Linked DNA regions of Xenopus tropicalis. The protein of the gene in region 1 purifies or fractionates together with the protein of each later gene. This does not show direct contact. Links are inferred from orthologs where the notes say so. Each region holds a gene or a part of one and is shown on either strand. Other genes may lie near its edges.

Region 1 (11,991 bases):
ACTGGATCACAACTAACTTGTATCTGAACTAAGCGAACAAAATTACTACTAGATTTAAGCTATGACAACATAGCCTGTCTACTTTCTTATTATTATTGAGCAGTGTTTAGTTGTTTATTATTCTAAATATTTGTAAGATTTCCGCTAATGGGACTAGGGAGGGGTTCCCTGGTAGGAAATACCTCTAGGATCCTTTTGTATCTATACAGGCTAGTATTTGCTTACCTAATAAGACATAATAATCACTAATTAACAAGATACCAGACTACACTTATTTCGCTCAGCCATTTGTTGGTAAATGAATCAGTCTGTACACATTTTTTTTATTTCAAATAAAAATGTATTGACATAAAAAAATTCAATGCCCTGCAGCAATTACTAATAGGTAGAACTAGGTAGGTAGGTATAATGCAAAAGCATCTTCCTTTATTCCTTCTTGTCATTAAGGAGGAAAATATTTCCCAGTATCTTCTTCTACTATTACTTTGTTAGTGAGATTACTTTCAGCATATAGTATCTGCAAGTAGTTTCCTCTTTTATCACATTTTGTTGTCACCACTTGCTTTTGTTTTCTAGAGTTAATTTAGAACAACAGATGCATGAAGAACAGTGGTTAGATTTAAAACAAGTAAAAAGCTAGGGCAATATGAGATTTTTCAACAAACTGTAGCTGCAATTATTTTCCAGAAAATAATATGCAACACAAAGGTTATGCTCTTCTGAGACCAAAAAAAAACCTCATATTTGCTGTGCATGTTTATCAAATTTTCACATTGTCTTATTTTACCTGGTAGCATTGGTCTGATCTCCAGTAGACAACAAATCCCTCATGATGTAATGCATTGTTAATAAGTAGCAATGCCTGATCCATCTTCAAATGAGATGGTCTCCTTAAGACATCTGTTGATAAATGCACAAAGTTAAATCAGTTTTGTCTATGACACTATTGTACTTTTTATAAAAACACAAGCACAATGCTGATCTAAAGACTCATCTTTACAGAAGCATACAACAGAAACATACAACAGAAGAACATCACTTTTCATTACCAATGTCTGGAAAAATCATATTTCCTTGATTCCATTGCCCCAAGGTCTTTCTTAACTCTCTTTTCTCAGCCACTGAGACAGCACATTGTAAGGAACTAGGGAACACACTCCTATCTACTGCTAACATTACTGAATCCGAAATACCATATCTAAAGCACACAGAGCGATGACAGTGAACTGCTGCTCACTACTAGGCACTACTTGCCTTCACAACTCAGATTCAGTGACACAGAAATCTATAACAGATTCTAAACAAGCCACTGAAAAAAAAATTATATATACCTGTACACTGTATATATCTTATATCATATGCACTCAAAGGACGTCATAAAAGTGAAAAAAAATCTAAATTTTTTTAGTCAACGTTTCGATCTCCTTATGAGACCTTTCTCATAAAGAGAACAAAACAGTGACTAATTAATTTTCAGTAGTCTTTTTCCAGTTCTTGTATGCATACCTTCTACTTTCTGACTACAACAGCTAAATCCATGATGCAATAACTGACAATTGCTAGAGGCACTTTTATGGGGAAGGTAAAAGTGATTCTTTAATAAAATAGGAAAATAAGATATTTCACAAGATATTTTAAAAATACTTTGAAAAGAGGATGTTGATGTTTTTAATAAGGAAACAGAACACATGGTAAAGAATTATGCAACATGCTTTGCAAATGTTCATAGCCAAGCTCTCATGATTTGAAACTGACTCACAGATTAAAATGACAAACACTGGCATATGGGCCAAGATATACAGTCCTGAAAACAATACCAGTTATAAAACAATACCAGATCAATAGGAAACAAAAGATGTGTTTGTTTGGAGGACAGATAGCTATTTTGTCAAGTATGGGTTATTAGACCTGGAGAAAACTTTGCACCACTACATTTCCTACACCATTTGCTGGAAAGTATAAACTGATGCAAAATGGAAATTGTATATCTATTAAATGAGCTTCAGATACTTTTCTTCTGTGATAGTTTGGGTTAAGGTTTTGTGACTTTAGTTACTGCTAAACATGTTGCAAATACTTTTCATAGGTGCATAGTGGAGTGCCCACTTATATGAAAAGTGCTGCACAAGGGCATAACATATCCATGGGTGTTGGAGGACACTCTGGTAACATAAAGTATACTTTAGCGCACTATCATATACCAGCATAGAAATTGTTAATGTCATCACCATCAAAATGTACAATGAGAACAAGACAAAGTAAAAAGCAGTAAACATCCCAAACAGATTATACAGTGAGATGCAGCAGAATCCGTCACCCCAACCACATTATATACTGAGAGGTGCTGCCAGTACAGTACATGTTGGCACTACATGCACCGAAACAGTAAGACTGTGGATTCTTGCACCACAAGCAAATTATACAGTGAGAGGCAGTGGGTGCAGGCACCTAATGCATATTATATACAAAAAGAACCAGTTTTGACTGACGCCACAAGCACATTATATAAAGTTCTCTTAACGTACTCTTTTTTTTTTTCTTTACCAGAGTAAAAAAAGAGTAAAAGAGTATAACACATGTAATTCAGAGAATGATGTATATGGTTTGAAGTGCCCATGTGGTAAAATGTATGTGGGACAGACTATAAGGAAAGTAAGAATCAAAATTGGTGAACATAAGAGATCAGTGACTAAACACTTTTTTGAGCACAAACATAATAGTGCAAGTCTCAGGTGGCTGGTATTGGAACATGTAAGCTATTAAGCATTTTTTGTAAAATTACTAACTTTGCCTTTAATTTTCCAGAATGGACTTTTGAAATCTCATATGGACTTGTCTTGTATGACAGAGTAAGTAGGAGACGGATACCTGCTTTTTCGATATCTTGCTATATACACTATATACCCATGATACTAGTAGTTTGGTGCATTATCGGAGTAGACCAGTAGATGGCAATGCTCTGTATTGCTCTGAATTGGATGTATGTATTTCTATGAGTCTGGCCACATGATGGAGCTGACACACTTGTTGGCTTTGTGGGGTTTAAAGGTAATTTGGGTTATGGTACACTGTTGTAAAAGCACCTGATGAAGAATCAGTGGATCTGAAACATGTTTTGTGGTATAAAATAATAATCACAATTGATTGATTTGGTTCTCCGGAGTGCACTCTTTGCTGATTTGTGAATTTAGTGATCACATACTATAAATGCACCCAATATCTCAACAGCCATTTTACTGTCTAGAAAAGGATTAATCACTGGGGGTGCTAATATGTTAGGCTCCACCCAGTAATTAAATCACTGACCTCAGACCCTGGGTTGCTGCACTTCCTCGCTAAAAAATACAAGTGTGTCTATTGAGTGCTATGCCTCCATCAGGTTTGTGGACAGGTCCAGTACAGTAAAGTTTGTCTTAGTGTCTAAGTTCCAGTTTAACTCTACTGTACATGTGCACATCCCAGAATAGCACAAAAATACCGACACAACAGGACTTGTTTAAGCGTAATAAACCCTGCTGATTTTTAATAGTAGCAAACCATATAACGTTTCGGGGGCACACCCCTTCGCCCAAAACGTTATATGGTTTGCTACTATTAAAAATCAGCAGGATTTATCCCGCTTAAACAAGTCCTGTTGTGCTGATATTTTTGTGCTGTTTGGAAAGTGGTGGAGAGTGACGAAGTCTCTCTAAATACTGTGCACCAGGTGGAACAGAGTGGAAAGGCCAGAGTGTGCTGGTAAGTGTGGATTTGCACATCTCAGAATATCCACAAGGAATCCCTAATCAACTTTCCCATAAACATATACAGGTATGGGACCTGTTATCCAGAATGCTCGGGTTTTCTGGATAAGTGATCTTTCCCTAATTCGGATCTCCATAACTTAAGTCTGCTAAAAATCATTCAAATATTAAATAAAAAGATTGTTTTGCACCCCAATAAGGATCAATTATACTTTAGTTTGGATAAAGTACAAGGCACTGTTTTATAATTACAGAGAAAAAGGAAATTATTCTTAAAAATTAGAATTTGCTTATTAAGTCTATGGAATATGGCCTTTCTGGATAACGGGTTTCCAGATAATGGATCCCATACCTGTACTGAACATTTCCAGTGGTTTTAACACTATTTGTAAATAAAAAAGCAACTGAAAACTGCCCTTGCATCCCTTTCTGTTCTCCGGTTTCTAATGTTAAAATAATGTACAGGTACTGGATCCCTTATCCGGAAACCCGTTATCCAGAAAGCTCTGAATTACGGAATGGCCATCTCCCATATCCTTTTTCTCTGTAATTATAAAACAGAACCATGTACTTGATCCTAACTAATATATAGTTAATCCTTATTGTAGGCAAAACAAGCCTATTGAGTTTATTCAATATTTATATTATATTATATATTAAGTCTATAGACTTAAGTTATGTAGATCCATGGAAAGATCTCTTATCCGGAAAACCAATGGTCCAGAGCATTCTGGATAACAGGTTCCATACCTGTAATGGAAATAGCTTTCCCATAAAATCTGTAAGGCTAATGTCTGACGGTGAGATTAGTCACCCACAGTTAAATCTCTGCTAGCGTGGTCGACTAGTCTCCCTGAAATGCCTTTCCACCGGCAACAAAGTGAATCACTGGTGTAAAGGCATACGCATTGCTTTCTTTTTCTGAAGTGGTGCGAAGTTTCCTCCTGCAGGCAATTTCATGTGACTTCGGAAAATGAAGCGATGCATATGTCTGTCCATCAGTGATTCCCTTTATTGCTGGTGGAAAGGCATTTCAGGGAGATTAGTTGCCCTTGGCAGCCAAGACTACGGGTGACTTATCTCCCAGTGGGCCATGAGCCTTAATCAGCTTCTGCTACATTGTTTCAGGACTCAGAACCAACACTGCAGAGAATATAAACAACCTGACAGAAACAGCTTGCAGTAGAAATAACTCATAATAATTAATAACTTTAATACACCATTAATATATCAAAATATAATTCATATTATTAAAGGACATGTCAACCCCAAAAATAACTTTTTTCCTAATAAAAGAAAACATAATTCCAAGCAACTTTATTGAAAATGTTTAGTGCTTTAAAAGTTATTTGTAAATGTAATTTGCTGAACTCCTGGTTATGACTCCTTAAACAATGTTGCAGAGGTCAGTCTCCCTCTGCAAGACAGGTCTGTCAGTCTGTTGCCTTGTGTAAAGGTCCCCATACACGGGCCGACTATAGCTGCCGATATCGGTCCCTTGGACCGATTCGGCAGCTAATCGGCCCGTGTATGGGGAGAGCAGAGCAGCCTGGCCGACCGATATCTGGCCTGAAATTGGCCAGATCTCGATCGGCCAGGTTAGAAAATACAGTCGGATCGGGGACCACATCGGCTCGTTGATGCGGTCCCCGATCCGACTGCCCCATTGCCGCCCACATAATCCGATCGTTTGGCCCCAGGGCCAAACGATCGGATTATTTTTTTTTTTACCTAAATGCTCCCCGATATCGCCCACCCGTAGGTGGGGATATCGGGGGAAGATCTGCTCGTGTATGGCCACCTTTACATTGTTTCAAATGCCAGAGCCACCAAGGGCACAGAACAGAAAAAGACTGGAAAACACTACTTCTAATAGTAATTATATGTATGAATAAGTCAGAAACCATTGCAAATTTGTAATGAATATATATTGCAAAATGGCTTAGAATTATGTTTTTTTTTTTTATTAGGCAAAAAAATATAATTTGGGTTGACTTGCGCGTTAAAATATAATAAATGCATATTAAAAAACGGCTTAGAATTACTTTTTCATTAGGCAAAAGTGTTTGGTGTAGATTCCCTTTAAAATATAAATACATACTGTGTAATAATAATACTACATAGACTATTCAGGAAGTGAGCTCAGTGCTTTGCTCACTTACTCTGTGCAGGTAGGCTTATGAGGGAAGAGCTGGTGCAGGTACCCAGTAGAATCATGCTCAGGGCAGAGACTATAAGAAGCCAATAGGTGGAACAGCAACGGGGCCACAGCAACGTCATCGTGTTCATGCCAGGACTGCTTCCACCAGATTTGCTCTCTGGGCTTTTCCACCTCTTTTTTCGCCTCCACCGCCGTCTCCTGACTTCCTCTTTTCTTTCCAGCTCTGGGATCTGTATACAACTCCCTCACTCGATCTGTCTGGCACGATTCAGCCCCATCACATCCTGTAATGATCTCACTCCTAGCTAACAGCAGGACTGGTTCAATCTATATATTTAAAACCATGTATTTATTAACTACATAAAATAGCCCAACGCGTTTCCTATCAATGTTCTGAAGATGCCCCTGATTGAATCAGTCCTGCTTCTGCTTGCTAAAAACCCGATCCAGCTCCCTCCTCCCTGCTCTGTTGTGATTCTCTTGCTAGGAGAAGGAACAGTGTGATTGGCTGTAGGTGATCACATGGTACCAGGAATCACCAGGACAGGAAGAAGAACTGAACTGCTGCACAGAGGTGAAAGTTACTGCAGGCAGAACTGAAAGGTGGAAAAGGGATGATATGCATGTTATTTTGGACACACAAGTAGAACTGAAGCGTTATCCTGCTTGCTCCTTGGTATAATCTTCACTATTAGCACTTAACTGTTTAGGTGCTGGAGGGTGGAGAGGAAAGACACGTTGCTGCAAATTAACTGTGACATGCAAATGTAGAAGATGCACTGTGTAAGTAGGATCTGAGTGTGTGCAGCCATTTATTATTAGTATTGCACCATTGTGGTCTCTATATTTCACTTGCAGAGTGTCCTGTATACTTATATAGTATATAGTGTCCTTACACTGAGTTTGAGTGGATGTGTGGATCCACGTTTTGTTAGGGAACACCAAGCCATTGTGGGACCTCAAAAACAGTGTTCTCTTTAAAGGCAAACACCTGAATTTATTTATACTGGTTGATCACTGTATAACAAGGTACTGTAGTGTTAGCTATTAATGAAAGTTAAATAGTGCATCTTATAATTGTACTCTTACTTTATTAACTATGCAAATACACAAAAACATTAATCAATACAATTAAAATGTATTCGTAATGTTTCTTAATTACATTTGTAAATATGATCAGAGGCACTCTTATATCAGTCCTTTCTCCCTGAGGTGGAAGTACAACCAGCTATGTAAATAGTAGCTACCACCTTAAATGATGTGTTTTTACTGCTAAACCAGTTTATTATCTATGTGCATTTCACTTCTTAGCTACATATTTTTATGCAGTATATACGTTTATGATATATGCTTTTGTTGCACAAGATATATAGAATAAAATGCTGATTAATTATCTGTTGCAGGATTGTACTGATGACTGTAATTTATTTTGAATTGCTTTTGCAAATTGCAAATTTTGTTGCTGTTTTTTACACAGCATAAAGTTAACTTTTATTATGATGTAGAGAGTAATAGTCCAATATAATTTGCATTTGGTCTTCATTTTTAAATGCCTTTCCAATTGAGGGTGACATACAATGTTTCATCAAACTATTTACTATAGGTGTCCTTTTACAGAGATGACCTAGTAACTGCAGGTATTTGTCGCTCCTGGTTGCCCCATATGATGCAGATCTACAGTGCGTGACTTAGTAGCTACTGAAACAGAAAAAGTGTTTTTATGTAATGTTTTTATGTTAGAAACTAAAGCAAATTAAAAGATTGTTTCATGCCTACCTCCTTGGGTCTGTAGTTTCACAACACAAATAATATAATATCAAAAAATGTGGCAGTGATTTTTGGTTTACTAGTATAGCCCATTGTATGGCAGTTCTCTAAGGCAATAGGGTTTTTTGGGCCTTTTGTAAAGTCTGCCTGTCTAAGCCCAAGTGTATACCATTGTTTAAATATACTGTTAAAGTATTTTTTATAAATTTTGCTGTGTATGTGATGGGAAGATGGTTCCTTCTGATATCTTTGTTCCATGGTTGAAAATGTCATGTGCTGTTACACACTGTTAGTAGTGTACTAGTACTTGGTGCATCAATAGATGAAAACGTTAAAATGAACCTCTGTTTCAGTTCTGCTAGTCCGGCCTGATAAAACTTGACGATAGAAAAGTGGCTATGCCATAGTGTCAGTTAGTACAATACCTGTCCTTTTGGTTGAATATTGAGGAGGATTGCTCATTGTATGACCACCTTACTAACCTTTGTTTATTGTGGGAAAATAAATAGTTGTAAATTAGACAGTGGTACGCTTACTACAATGGTGCACTGCAGAGCATAATACTCTTACTCAGCTTTTACATGTTAAGACATTTACATAAGAATTTTTACAAAATATTCTTGTTAGTGAATTTCACTACAGCTATGAAAAAGCAATACAGGTATTGGACCTGTTATCCAGAATAGGAACTGTGATTTTCCGGATAAAGGGTGTTTCTGTAATTTGGATCTCCATACTTTGTCTACTGAAAAATCATTTAAACATTAAATAAACCCAATAGGATTGATTTGCCTCCAATAAGGATTCATTTTATCTTAGTTGGGATCAAGTACAAGGCACTGTTTTATTATTACAAAAGAAAAATAAATCATTTTTTATATTTTGATTTATTAAATTATGAGTCTAAATGGAGTCTATGGGGCAAACAAATCCCCCATATTTGCCAGAACCAAACTCAGTGAGCCAATCAATGAGGGAGGTCTGGGTCTCCTACACTGGTATCTATATTACCTTGTTTCACAGTTATACTACATCCAATGGTGGCTTAACCCAGACCCTTCGAATCCCAACTTCCCTCTCCAAGCCACAATAGTGAGCTCAATAGAGTCACTAACATATATCCCATTTTGCAAACCAGCAGATATCCAAACAACACACCCTATTCCAGCAAATATCACCATATAGAATTTGGCCCATATGGGGAATCCGTACACTGGGAGACATACAAGTAGGAGACACCCTGGCACTGAGGGACCAATTTAGACACTACCCAAGCAGTACTCCTATGGTACTCTTTATCTCCAACTACGGCATGCCCTCCAGGCACAATTTAGGAAAACCACACCACCCTCATCTATATCCAGAATAGAACTCACCGTTCGAAGCCCTACAACCAAAAAACTTACCACAACGCTATACGCTTCTCTCAACAGTTAGATCTCCATTTAGGACAGCCTACGCAATGTGGCATAGGGACTTCGAAGAGATAGATGATGATGACTGGGATAAAGCCACTGATAGGGCCCATGACTACCTTGTCTCAACTAGAGAAAGGCTGATACAGTTTAAGATCATACACAGACTCCATTTAACCCCTCTGAGATTATTCCGCATGAATAGGCGTGAATCACCCAAATGCCTGAAATGCAATGCTCCAGAGGCAAACTACATACATCTCATTTGGCAGTGCCAGACTATTCAATCCTATTGGACACAAGTAATGGATTACATCCAAGAAAAAAAAAACTCCCTCCCAAACCTCGTAACATCCAAGGTTTGCTACTGGGAGTGGTTAATGACCTTACCCCAACAGCTCATATAAGAACCTTATTTCAAAATCTACTGTTCTACGCTAGAAAATGTGTACTGCTACACTAGATGGCACAATCCCCTCCCACAATAGATAGATGGTTAAATCTCCTCAGAACGCTATTCCCCCTGATTCAACTTACACAGACTGCAAGGGGGTGTCCCCAGAAGTATGAAAAAATTTGTAGGAACTGGATAGAAGCTACTTAATTAATTTGACCCCCCCTTACAGCCTATGGGGCATTCTTCCCACTAGGATTACCAACCTAAACCAGGTCAAATGCTAATGTTATTGTACACGCTATCTTGTATAAACACAGTCCAGGACAACATGATGTAGAACCACATGATGTTTATAAGTGTTGTATGTTTTTATGTTTAAAAATGCAAATAAAAACCTTTAAAAAGTCTATAGGAGATGAACTTCCTGTAATTTGGAGCTTTCTGGATAACAGGTTTTCGGATAACTGATCCTATACCTGTACAATAAAGTATGTAATACACTTTAACTAGCCATGGGAAGGGTACGTGGGCAACATAATCTACATATTTCTGCCAAGCCTACTTCAATAACACAAAAACACACTTGATTAGCTAAACAGGAACAAAAAAAGACTTTTTATAGTTTCAGCCTAATATGACACTATTCTCTTGTTTTTCTGGCCTAAATACTTTTTAATATCTTGTTTGATATAATTTTAGGTATTGCCTTCAAAAATCAAATGATTATGCAAAATATATCTAGGGTAAGGGCACGCGGGCATAATGTCAGCCTGCAGATAAGCGGGTGTCCGGGTACAGGCACACGCAGCTGATATCCGCCAAACTTACGAGAGACTTGCCACTTACGGTATCCACAGACTGACAATATGCTCTTAACCTTAACAGTAAAATATATTTCTTTAAATGAAAAAAAAAGGTCATAGTTACTGTTGTGTTAAAATACAGATACAATAAAAACATATTTCTTATTTGAATGCATGTTTTTTTATTTGTAAAAGTAACAAAGTTTGCTTTTTTTCCCTCAGAATGTTACATACAGTGCTGAGCAAATATGGAGAGAAAACTCAATGTCAACAGAAAAAGTGGCAGCTGGAATTGCCTGCTTGTCCTCTTTCTAATGCTACTGTTCACAGTGGTTTCAGTTAACTTCTTGCTGTATATGTATATTGAACAAATCTATGCACCTTCTCAATTCAGCCATTCTGAACTGAACCTATGTCCTTATGGACACTTTAAGATAGCAACGATGAAAAATTGCTCACCGTGGCTGACTTGTGAGACTATTGAAAAAGAAGTCAGGAAGCTAAAGCTTGTTGGTGAAGGAGCAGTTAAAAAGGTAAGTTTCAAAACGTGACAAAAGTAATATATACTTCTAGAATAGCTGCGACCAATATAATGGCAGCTACAAGCTTTAATTCTATTCCAAAGTGGGAATACTTCTGCATATTAAAGTGTTTTTGGACTATTCTGTGTAATGTAACAACATATTTACAACTTTAGAAAGTGCTTTATACATTTTTCTGTTGAATTAAAATAAATAAAATAGGTTAGGTAGGTAATACAACATGATTTGCACTGTAATTTATAGCATAAGAGTAACCCACCCTAAGTCTGGTGCAAAATATAGATCAGCACCCCTAAGATTACATAGGAGAAATCATTACAGGCACACCGACTGAATGCAATTGGGAATAACCACTGCATATTTAATCAAATGTAATATTTTAGGAACACAGCCCTTCATCAGAAATAATGTTTAATTAAATATACATGGCTTATCCCTGCTTGCATTGAGTCTTAAGTGCTGGTAAGTTTTCTTCTACACTGTATGGTGTGTTCTACTTGCCATTAGGTAACATCCTGGGAATATGTGCCTGTAGTTAGATTGAAGATGCACTACATACATGACACCTGTATTGCTGTGGTCCTGTTTAGAATAATACTAAACAGACTCTCTAATTTAAACTATATTCATAGTTTCCAGGCAATTTAAGGGCAGCATATTCGTATTTTGATACATCTCTCGTCTTCAGACATTCTCTGTAGACACCTATAAAAGCAACTTTTATATGAAAGCAAAGGTATTTTTTATGTAGTTTTCTATGGGGCACTGGCTTCCATGCATTCTGTCTCCTGCCTTTCACAGTTGCTTACTGGCCCTTGCTAAGTGTGTTGGGGAAATATACCACCAACTGTAATACATGGCAGCTCCAAAGCAGTAGAGCATATGTATAAGTTCATTGGAACCCATGCAGAAAACTTTAGAGTGCACCTGAAGCAACAAAGAGTGAGTTTCTTTTCTGAAGTGTGCTCTGTTGATTTTTGGTTCCCATTCATTTCAGGTATTTTTGTCTGAGTGGAAGGGCATGAAAGTTGCTCTTTCAGAATTAAAATCGCTAGATCTGCAGGATGATTTCCTCCATGGATTAAGGATGCTGCAGTCACTGCAAAGCAGAAATGTTGTGGTCCTTGTTGGATATTGTAAAGAGACATTTAGCATACTGACTG
Region 2 (11,208 bases), on another chromosome or scaffold:
CTCTTCAGTCAGAAAAATGCCATAAACCGCATGGTGATCGATGAGCAGCAGAGTCCCGACATCATCCTGCCCATTCACAACCTACGCAACGTCCGAGCCATCGACTACGACCCTTTGGAGAAGCAGCTCTACTGGATTGACTCGCGGCAGAATATACGCCGGGCTCAGGAAGATGGCAGCCAGGTACAATTAGCCTCAATTGGGCTTTATTTTATTTAATTGTTTAGCTTTTTGTCTGGTTGCTAGGGTCCAGTGGCCCCCCAAGATCATTTACCCAGCCCTGCTGCGTCCTCAACCATGGCTATTACCTGTCTGACCAGTCCTCAGCCCCAGGGTGTCGCGTCCAACGTAATTAGAGTTGGCCGGTGCGACTCCAGACAGGTAGTAGCCAGGGGTGAAGACACAGCGGGGCGCAGGGGCCGAGGGCTGGAGTTTGAGGACTGAATATAGTCTGGCCCCCCAACAGACTGAGTGACTATGGACTGGCCCCCGGTTTAAAAAGTTTGAGGACCCATGATCTAGAACATCATGAGTTTAAACACCTTATGAGTCACATGGCTTTCTCCCATCTGTATATTGTATATATGTATATATGTGTTGTAAAGAATGTTCGGCATTGTGTCTTCATATGATTAGCTTGTGTATCACAAGGGTTATGGATATGGGACATCAGCAGGTTTCAGTCTGCATCATAAGCTGCACAAATAACACTGATACTAACAACATCCTTTTATTCTTTACCTGTCCCTTTTCACAGAGCATGACCGTAGTGGCAAGCACCGTCCCCAACCAGAATATAGACATGCAGCCGTACGATTTGAGCATCGATGTCTACAGTCGCCTGATTTACTGGACCTGCGAAGCCACCAATGTCATCAACGTCACGCGGCTGGACGGGAGAGCCATCGGGGTGGTTCTAAAGGGAGAACAAGACCGTCCCAGAGCTATCCTTGTGAATCCAGAGAGAGGGTAGGAAATACAGAACTTTATCTACGCATAGTTTATTCTTTTTCCCTGATCTACAATCAGGTCTGTGGTGGTGGGTACCTACAGAACCACCCACAAGATGGTTTGTTTTGGGGCACAGCTGCACTCACCCGCAATTTTCTGTGGTGCAAAGTCTTCTAGATGTATGGCAACGCCCCAACAATGTATAGAACAAAGCAGAAATAGAGACTGCACTCAAGCAAAATTTCAGCTGAGGAGCTTACCCCATTGCCAATGTACCATAAAAATAATCAACGTTTCGGGGTGGGGGGGCGCTCCCTCCCTTCGTCAGCATAACCACAGTTTTTTAAAAAGTCAGATACAAAAAAGACCAATATAAATAAATAAATATAAATTTCTGCAGAAGTCCGTTCTTACAGTATAAATGTCAGTTGTTTGTGAAAAAGTTCAGCCATGGTCGGACTGGGCCACCGGGACACCGGTAAAAATCCCGGTGGGCCCCAGCGGCCCAGACCCAACCCTTGTGGCGCTCCCCCTGCACGACCGCTCCTGTCCCCACGTGTTAAATTTACGCGCTCGGGGAAGAACGTCAGGTGGGGGAACCTGCGAGGGGGGTTAGGGGGGCCCCTCCAGGGGGGGGGAGGCTATGGGCGTTGGCCATATGGGCAGGCTATGGGCACGGGCCCCGGTGGGCCCTTCACCCCCCAGTCCGACCCTGAGTTCAGCACCCTGAGTTCAAAAACAAAAAATGACCAATATAAATTTGTCTGTTTTGGGGCAGATCTGCCTTGATTTCCTGACTGTGTGGGTAGTTTCTTTGCTTATGGAGTTGGGATATGGTGTATAATTTGAAAAAATTAAATATTGTGAACCATTTACACTTCCAGGTTAATGGGCCGGTAGGGGTTCTGAACCAGCTTTGCATTGAAACTCCCATTTGCTTTGATCTTCTAGGTACATGTATTTCACCAACCTCCAGGAGCGATCGCCAAAAATCGAAAGAGCTGCTCTTGATGGGACAGAGCGAGAGGTGCTGTTTTTCACCGGCCTGAGCAAACCAGTGGCGCTTGCGCTCGACAACAAAATGGGGAAACTTTTCTGGGCCGACTCTGACTTGAGGAGGATCGAAAGCAGTGACCTATCCGGTAAAGTGCGAGAATAGCGAATTTATAGGACTAAAACTGAAAATGACAGTTATGAGTTCTAGTATGGTTCCGTTCTGTGGTCTAGTACCAACTTAATGGGAAAGTAAGAATGCTGTGTGATTTTAATCACATGCTTTCCGTTTGGATAGAGTGATTCCTACTTCATTCATTGTTCCAAGTGCATTTATTACATATTTTTTTTGCATACCTAGTTTTGATCGTTACAGTAAAATGGCCTTTAATTATGTTATTGGTCAACGCTTACACTGCTCTCTGGTACTTTCCAGGTGGCCATCGCATAGTTCTAGAAGATTCTAACGTGCTGCAGCCAGTCGGACTCACTGTTTTTGGCAATCACCTGTATTGGATTGACCGGCAACAACAAATGATTGAGCGCATTGAGAAAACCGGACGCGTGGGTCGCACCAAGATCCAAGCTCGTATCCCTCTGCTGACTGATATCCATGCTGTGACAGAACTGAGCATGGACGAATACAGTTAGTATCCACTTATTAATACTAATTTCCTTTTCTGTAGATACGTTTTGGAGTTGCTAAGCAACAACCACTTCAAATATTAGAATTATTTAGTAAAATTACAAATCTTGGGGTATTAAGCTTTGAAATTTGGAATCATGGCCTTGTTTTCTCATTGTTCTTTTCCCTTTTCTGTTTTAACAGAGGAACACCCTTGTTCCCAGGATAACGGGGGCTGCTCCCACATCTGCATAGTGAAAGGAGATGGAACCACCCGCTGTTCTTGCCCGATGCACCTTGTCCTTCTGCAGGAAGATGAGTTGTCCTGTGGGGGTGAGTGCTGTGTAGATTTATTTTGTATTACTGCTAATCATATATATATAGAATCTCAGCCATAAAGCAGGGCAGGACTGCTGCTTACAATGGGGGGATCAGATAGGATCTGTGCCACTGTGACAGAATGTTCTGTTATACAGATAGCTAGAATCTCAGCCATAAAGCAGGGCAGGACTGCTGCTTACAATGGGGGGATCAGATAGGATCTGTGCCACTGTGACAGAATGCTCTGTTATACAGATAGCTAGAATCTCAGCCATAAAGCAGGGCAGGACTGCTGCTTACAATGGGGGGATCAGATAGGATCTGTGCCACTGTGACAGAATGCTCTGTTATACAGATAGCTAGAATCTCAGCCATAAAGCAGGGCAGGACTGCTGCTTACAATGGGGGGATCAGATAGGGTCTGTGCCACTGTGACAGAATGCTCTGTTATACAGATAGCTAGAATCTCAGCCATAAAGCAGGGCAGGACTGCTGCTTACAATGGGGGGGATCAGATAGGATCTGTGCCACTGTGACAGAATGCTCTGTTATACAGATAGCTAGAATCTCAGCCATAAAGCAGGGCAGGACTGCTGCTTACAATGGGGGGGGGATCAGATAGGATCTGTGCCACTGTGACAGAATGCTCTGTTATACAGATAGCTAGAATCTCAGCCATAAAGCAGGGCAGGACTGCTGCTTACAATGGGGGGGATCAGATAGGATCTGTGCCACTGTGACAGAATGCTCTGTTATACAGATAGCTAGAATCTCAGCCATAAAGCAGGGCAGGACTGCTGCTTACAATGGGGGGGGATCAGATAGGATCTGTGCCACTGTGACAGAATGCTCTGTTATACAGATAGCTAGAATCTCAGCCATAAAGCAGGGCAGGACTGCTGCTTACAATGGGGGGATCAGATAGGATCTGTGCCACTGTGACAGAATGCTCTGTTATACAGATAGCTAGAATCTCAGCCATAAAGCAGGGCAGGACTGCTGCTTACAATGGGGGGATCAGATAGGATCTGTGCCACTGTGACAGAATGCTCTGTTATACAGATAGCTAGAATCTCAGCCATAAAGCAGGGCAGGACTGCTGCTTACAATGGGGGGGGATCAGATAGGATCTGTGCCACTGTGACAGAATGCTTTGTTATACAGATAGCTAGAATCTCAGCCATAAAGCAGGGCAGGACTGCTGCTTACAATGGGGGAATCAGATAGGATCTGTGCCACTGTGACAGAATGCTCTGTTATACAGATAGCTAGAATGTCAGCCATAAAGCAGGGCAGGACTGCTGCTTACAATGGGGGGATCAGATAGGATCTGTGCCACTGTGACAGAATGCTCTGTTATACAGATAGCTAGAATCTCAGCCATAAAGCAGGGCAGGACTGCTGCTTACAATGGGGGGATCAGATAGGATCTGTGCCACTGTGACAGAATGCTCTGTTATACAGATAGCTAGAATCTCAGCCATAAAGCAGGGCAGGACTGCTGCTTACAATGAGGACCCTCAAAGCTATACAACCCCATGATACTGTGTTCTTTTCTGATTCCACTGCCAGAGGCTTCTGTTGTAACCGGCCGGCTCTTCGCCCTGGGTCACATTTGCTCTATTTTGCTTGTAGGTTACTAGAGGTCAGAGCACTCAATGAAAGTCATTGTTTGTGTAACAGAATATTAGTGCCTGTGCTAGGCCATTAAGGGATTAGATTCTGTCTGTTATAGTATTCAGGCCATACGGTAACTGCAAAAACACACCCTGTTTGTTTTTATATAAGGTTTGTCTTCTGGTTTCTTTCATTGATACAAAATTGGGTACAGGGTATTGCTACTATACGCAGAATTACCCAGAGAAAGCATGTGTGTGCATTTCCGCTTTCTGACACTGCCATCTAGTGGTTACAATTGGGACATCCAATCCTGTGGCTATATTTTGATTTTTTTTATGTGTCTATTCTTTGCGTATATCTAGATGTACCCTAAAATGTTATTAAGTGGGTATAACATAATTTCCTTTATTTTCCCCACAGAGCCTCCTACCTGCTCTCCCCTGCAGTTCACCTGTTTCACCGGCGAGGTTGATTGCATCCCGGCGGAATGGCGCTGCGACGGCTTTACAGAATGCGAGGATCACAGCGACGAGCAGAACTGCCCCATGTGCTCGGACACGCAGTACCAGTGCGCCAGCGGCCAGTGCATTGACTCCTCTCTGCGCTGTAACGGAGAAGCCAACTGTCAGGACAAGTCTGATGAGAAAAACTGCAATGGTACGGGCTTGCTTCTGAAAATGGTTTTATTCAGACATTCATTTGTTGGTGTTTGAATCCCCCCCCTTATATGCATTGAAGAGTTTGTGAAAGCACTCTTAAAAGAGGCCTGTTGGGAAAAGAAAGTGGGGTTCATTTATTAACACTGGGCAAATTTGCCCATGGGCATTAGCTCATGGCAACCAATGAAATTGTTGCATTCATTGTTGTATATGCAGCTGGCTGAAAAAAGCCAGTCACTGATTGGTCGCTATGGGTTACTACCCACGGGCAAATTTGCCCAGTGTTGATAAATGAGCCCCAGTGTCTTTTAGGGTGAAGACGCACGGAGCTACTAGTAGCATCTACTTGTCGTGGCTACTAAAATAGACAATGCTGATCATTTACTGATAATTGTCTGTACTTGTGTTTTAGCAGAGGCAATTCTCAGTATTGTCTATGGCAGGGGATTTTCTGGCTTTTAGTAGCCATGGCAAGTAGCTGCTACTAAGTAGCTCTGTGTGTCTTTACCCCTAAGGTACCAGTGATGTGAAATGAATAAGCTAAGTTGACACACTGAACCAGTCAATTATGAAGGCTGCTAATAATGAAGATGCTTTTTCTGGTCTTTCTGCAGAAGTCTGTGCTCCAGACCAGTTCCACTGTGGCAGCGGACAGTGCATCGGGAAGCACAGGCGTTGTGACCTCAGCCCGGACTGCAGTGACAGCTCAGACGAGCAAGCTTGCTGTAAGTGCTGCTATTATAACTGCTGGCCTAAGTTTCAGTAATAAAGTTGTCAGCAAAAAGTCATATAGTGTGTGTGTTCTGTTACAAACCTGGCATGTCACATTCGGGGTCCTGCAGAGATTTGGGACTTGTATTTAAGGGTGAAGAGACACGGAGCTAATGTAGCAGCTACTTGTCGTGGCTACTAAAACAGACAATGCTGATCATTTACTGATAATTGTCTCTACGTGTGTTTTAGCAGAGGCAATTCTCAGTATTGTCTATGGCAGGGTATTTTCTGGGGTTTAGTAGCCGTGACAAGTAGCTGCTACTAAGTAGCTGTGTGTCTTTACCCTAAAAGTTGCATGGGAGTCTCAAGCTTGCCATTGCACTTTAGCACCCCTGAAGGGTGAAGACACCCAGTAGCCCTAGTAGCAGCTACTTGTCGTGGCTACTAAAATAGACAATGCTGATCATTTACTGATAACTGTCTCTACATGTGTTTTAGCAGAGGCAATCCTCTGTATTGTCTATGGCAGGGGATTTTCTGGTGCTTAGTAGGTGTGAAAAAGTAGCTGCTTCTAGTAGCTCTGTGTGTCTTCACCCTTTAGATGTTGATGTGCAACTATCAGCATCAGCCAAATATTGCCATGATATTCTGGGAGTTGTATTTGAACCTTTGCCTTGATGCAAGCTGTGCATACCTCTCCTAATCTGCAAGGCTAAAGGCTCTCTCCAGGCCTACTCTTCAACTCTCCACACAATTTATTTTACATTTTCCAGATCCCACAGAGGAACCACCTCCTCCATCGACCAACACCATCGGCTCCATCATCGGCGTGATCCTCACCGTATTCGTAGTAGGGGGAGTGTATTTTATCTGTCAGCGAGTGCTGTGTCGTCGCATGAAAGGAGACGGGGAGACCATGGCCAACGATTATGTGGTGCATGGACCCGCCTCCGTCCCCTTAGCATACGTGCCACATCCGAGCTCCCTGACTGGATCCTTGCCTGGTGAGTACAGAGCCGGTGACTCCAGCACCAAAATGCCTGCTGTTTATTTTCCAAGATGGTACTCTTTCCATTTAGATACAATAAATATAATGCTGAATGCTCTTGTACAGGTATAGGACCTGTTATCCAGAATGCTCGAGACCAAGGGTATTCCGGATAAGGGGTCTTTCCGTAATTTGTATCTTCATACCTTAAGACTACTAAAAAAATCAATAAAACATAAATTAAACACAATAGGATTGTTCTGCCCCCAATAAGGGGTAATTATATCTTAGTTGGGATCAAGTACAGGTACTGTTTTATTATTACAGAGAAAAGGGAATCATTTAACCATTAAATAAACCCAATAGGGCTGTTCTGCCCCAATAAGGGGTAATTATATCTTAGTTGGGATCAAGTACAGGTACTGTTTTATTATTACAGAGAAAAGGGAATCATTTAACCATTAAATAAACCCAATAGGACTGTTCTGCCCCAATAAGGGGTAATTATATCTTAGTTGGGATCAAGTACAGGTACTGTTTTATTATTACAGAGAAAAGGGAATCATTTAACCATTAAATAAACCCAATAGGGCTGTTCTGCCCCAATAAGGGGTAATTATATCTTAGTTGGGATCAAGTACAGGTACTGTTTTATTATTACAGAGAAAAGGGAATCATTTAACCATTAAATAAACCCAATAGGGCTGTTCTGCCCCAATAAGGGGTAATTATATCTTAGTTGGGATCAAGTACAGGTACTGTTTTATTATTACAGAGAAAAAGGAAATCCGTTTCAAATTTCTAAATTATTATGATTAAAATGGAGTCTATGGGAGACCGGATTTCCATAATTTGGAGCTTTCTGGATAACAGGTTAAGGGATCCCATGCCTGTATTGACTGCCAGTCCATGCAGGAACCTGCTTGTAATGGATCATTTCCTCCACTCGCAGGTTTTTTTGTTATGAGGCCTTTCATGTGGTTTTGTGCATTCTCCAGCTCACATACAAAGTTAAACAGAAATAAATCTAGGGGTGGGGATAAAAAAAAAAAAGATCCCCTGCAGCTTGGCTCCTTGCGATGATTCCTTCTCGCCCCTTTGTTGTGGGGTTTTTATCCTCCCGCTGCCTTTAATGCGAGGATGCAGCAAAGTTTCCAGTTCTTCTATTAAACAGCGAGAGCATCTTGTTGCATTGTGTGCGCAGCAGTGTCATGTAACAGCTGCGGGCCATTGTGGGAAGAGATCACAGAGCTGTACTTTCCATGGGCCATTCATTAGTAGAAAGCCATTAAACTCTGTTGAAACCAGCTTAAGTAACAGGGATCCAACCGCTGCGCCAGATGAGGGTGAAATACAAAGGGGTGTTGCAGTTTAACAATGCAGTGATGAATCATTTCTAAGGTCTGCTGATGCAGAAAGCACTTATCTAAGCACTCTCTTGCTTAACACAGGGATGTCTCGTGGGAAATCTGTTATCAGCTCTCTCAGCATTATGGCTGGAAGCAGCGGGCCACCGTATGACCGGGCTCATGTGACCGGAGCCTCATCCAGCAGCTCCTCCAGCACTAAAGGAACCTATTTCCCACCGGTAGGTATCCAGCTGCCGTGTTTCCTACCCCATACGGTGTTTATACATAAACAGAAGATGTTCCATAAACCTGAATATTCTTTTCCTTTGGTTATAGATCTTGAACCCACCTCCCTCCCCAGCCACGGAGCGTTCCCATTACACAATGGAATTTGGTTACTCCTCAAACAGTCCTTCCACCCACAGATCATACAGGTGAGTGCATTTTTTACTCCAGTCCCCCCCCCACAGTATCTAGAAGGCCCTGCTGTAGGCTGCTACTAGAGAGGGACTTTTTTTCTACAACTGGCTGCTTCTTTGTTGCTGGGGCAGTCTCAGCTCAGCTTGGGGCTATTCATATATATATCTAAGTCCCTGTGTGTTTCGAGCACTAACAGTGCTCTTCTTCAGGGAAAAAACAGTTTTTCCCTGAAGAAGAGCGCCGTTAGTGCTTGAAACGTCGGATCTTTTTCAATAAATACTTTTTTTTTTTTTTTTTTTTTTTTTGCAAAGTCCCAGTGTGTGCGGCCCTCTGCTTTTGCCAGCACCCAGGGATTTGGATTCTCTGGATGGTGTGCTCCGTTTGTTCCTGTGTATATATACACAAACGATCGAGTTGTAACGACCGTGGGAGTGAATCCAAAACATGTGTATTGGAGACACACTGTGCACTACCCCATGTGTATTGGAGACACACTGTGCACTACCCCATGTGTATTGGAGACACACTGTGCACTACCCCATGTGTATTGGACACACACTGTGCACTCCCCCATGTGTATTGGAGACACACTGTGCACTACCCCATGTGTATTGGAGACACACTGTGCACTACCCCATGTGTATTGGACACACACTGTGCACTCCCCCATGTGTATTGGAGACACACTGTGCACTCCCCCATGTGTATTGGAGACACACTGTGCACTACCCCATGTGTATTGGACACACACTGTGCACTACCCCATGTGTATTGGAGACACACTGTGCACTCCCCCATGTGTATTGGAGACACACTGTGCACTCCCCCATGTGTATTGGACACACACTGTGCACTACCCCATGTGTATTGGAGACACACTGTGCACTACCCCATGTGTATTGGACACACACTGTGCACTACCCCACATCACATAAGGTCCCCATACACCTTAAGACGCCAAGCGAGCGGATCTTCTCCCGATATACCCCACCTACGGGTGGGCGATATCGGGAGAATCCGGGCTAATTTGATTGTTTGGCACTGGGGCCAAACAATCAAATTATAACGACGGGTATAGGCAAAGTCGGTTCAGGGACTGCATCAGCGAGCCGATGCGGTCCTCGATCCGACTAAAGTTTTAAACCTGCCCGATTTCAGGCCAGATATCAGTCAGACAGGCCCGTCGTTAGTGCCCCTACACGGGGCGATAAACTGCCGAATCGGTCTAAGGGACCCATATCGGCAGCTAGAATCGGCCTGTGTATGGGGACCTTAACATGTCAAAATCATTATATTCCTGGGGATAAAAAGCAGTCTGCTATATTTCCTAATGTTTCTCTTTCTTCCTCAGCTACAGACCCTACAGCTACCGGCATTTTGCCCCTCCTACAACTCCCTGCAGCACCGACGTGTGCGACAGCGACTACACCCCCAGCCACCGGATCACCTCCGCCGCGGCGAAGGGCTACACCAGCGATCTCAACTACGACTCGGAACCGGTGCCTCCGCCTCCAACCCCCCGCAGCCAGTACCTTTCAGCCGAGGAGAACTACGAAAGCTGCCCGCCCTCTCCCTACACGGAACGAAGCTACTCTCACCACCTTTACCCCCCTCCTCCGTCACCTTGTACAGACTCTTCCTGAGACCCCCCCACTCTGTAAATACTGTATGAAGAGAGAGTACTTTCCCAATCTAACCCCCCGGCCCCCGTTGTGTATAGTTTCCAGAACCATGAACCCCTCCAGAGGAGGGCAGAAGGGTCTCCGACAATGGACGTTTGTACAGAGACGATAAAAAAAAAAACAACAAATATTTATATTTTCTTAACCCTTTTTACACCTCTTCATACTTGTGCCATAAATGTAACGCTTATATTTCCATCCTTCCCCGGAAAGGGCAATCCCCTTGCCTTTTTGTGTGGAAGAAATCCCATGACCACTGAAACAGTAATTTGTACAAATATATATATATATATATATATCTCTATATAAATATCTATTTTTGCAAATGGAATACACAAAATGCCTTAAATAGACGGATAGGATAGGAAGAGGTCTTTAATACCAAAAAAAAAAAAAAATGCACGTGAGCACAGACCAGCGGATTTTAGAGAATGGTTCTTAATTGTTTTTATTTTTTTTTTAACCCTTTCTTTCCTCCATTCGACTGGTGCCAAGCTTAGGCGCAGAGCAAGCCTGCCCCCTCTTGGCGGTTATGGGGATAACATGGAATCTCTGCTACATGAAAGCCCAGTAGCTTCACTGGTCCCTTATCCCACCATATTAAATTACATTTTACTCCAGCTGCCCCTTAAAAGCCTGTATGCCTGCCCTGTATCCAGGTATCAATATACCTGGATACAGGGCAGACATACAGGCTTGTACTGTGGCTATATGGGAGTGCATCAAGCTGACTTGGGCTTGTATAATTGATTGAGTGGCAACAATAATTGTTTAATTTGTGTATTTTATTTTATGATTTTATCTTTGACTTGAGGGCCAAAGAAGGTTGCTAGAAAGATTTTTTAGCAGCCAGCCGTTTGATTCTTCCCCCCCCGACCACGTAACC

The links.
Region 2: the proteins of pomk (region 1) and lrp6 purify together in Homo sapiens (affinity purification with mass spectrometry; 3 studies listed by BioGRID and IntAct, counting the BioPlex papers as one, with this or other methods). This does not show direct contact. The link is inferred for Xenopus tropicalis from reciprocal best matches to the Homo sapiens genes POMK and LRP6.

What each region holds. Positions count from the first base shown.
Region 1 is NC_030677.2:96,030,307-96,042,297, reverse strand, and holds the start of pomk (protein O-mannose kinase), read left to right. Parts: upstream 1-6,390; 5' UTR 6,391-6,478; intron 6,479-6,599; exon of another isoform or gene 6,600-6,687; intron 6,688-10,508; 5' UTR 10,509-10,534; coding exon 10,535-10,819; intron 10,820-11,825; coding exon 11,826-11,991. Other genes in the region: hgsnat (heparan-alpha-glucosaminide N-acetyltransferase), read right to left, coding at 788-900, 5,906-6,032. UniProt on the Homo sapiens protein: Protein O-mannose kinase that specifically mediates phosphorylation at the 6-position of an O-mannose of the trisaccharide (N-acetylgalactosamine (GalNAc)-beta-1,3-N-acetylglucosamine (GlcNAc)-beta-1,4-mannose) to generate phosphorylated O-mannosyl trisaccharide (N-acetylgalactosamine-beta-1,3-N-acetylglucosamine-beta-1,4-(phosphate-6-)mannose).
Region 2 is NC_030679.2:8,212,403-8,223,610, reverse strand, and holds part of lrp6 (low-density lipoprotein receptor-related protein 6), read left to right. Parts: coding exon 1-183; intron 184-757; coding exon 758-969; intron 970-1,902; coding exon 1,903-2,093; intron 2,094-2,380; coding exon 2,381-2,590; intron 2,591-2,773; coding exon 2,774-2,902; intron 2,903-4,930; coding exon 4,931-5,167; intron 5,168-5,783; coding exon 5,784-5,894; intron 5,895-6,656; coding exon 6,657-6,887; intron 6,888-8,322; coding exon 8,323-8,459; intron 8,460-8,556; coding exon 8,557-8,654; intron 8,655-9,991; coding exon 9,992-10,283; 3' UTR 10,284-11,208. UniProt on the Homo sapiens protein: Component of the Wnt-Fzd-LRP5-LRP6 complex that triggers beta-catenin signaling through inducing aggregation of receptor-ligand complexes into ribosome-sized signalosomes.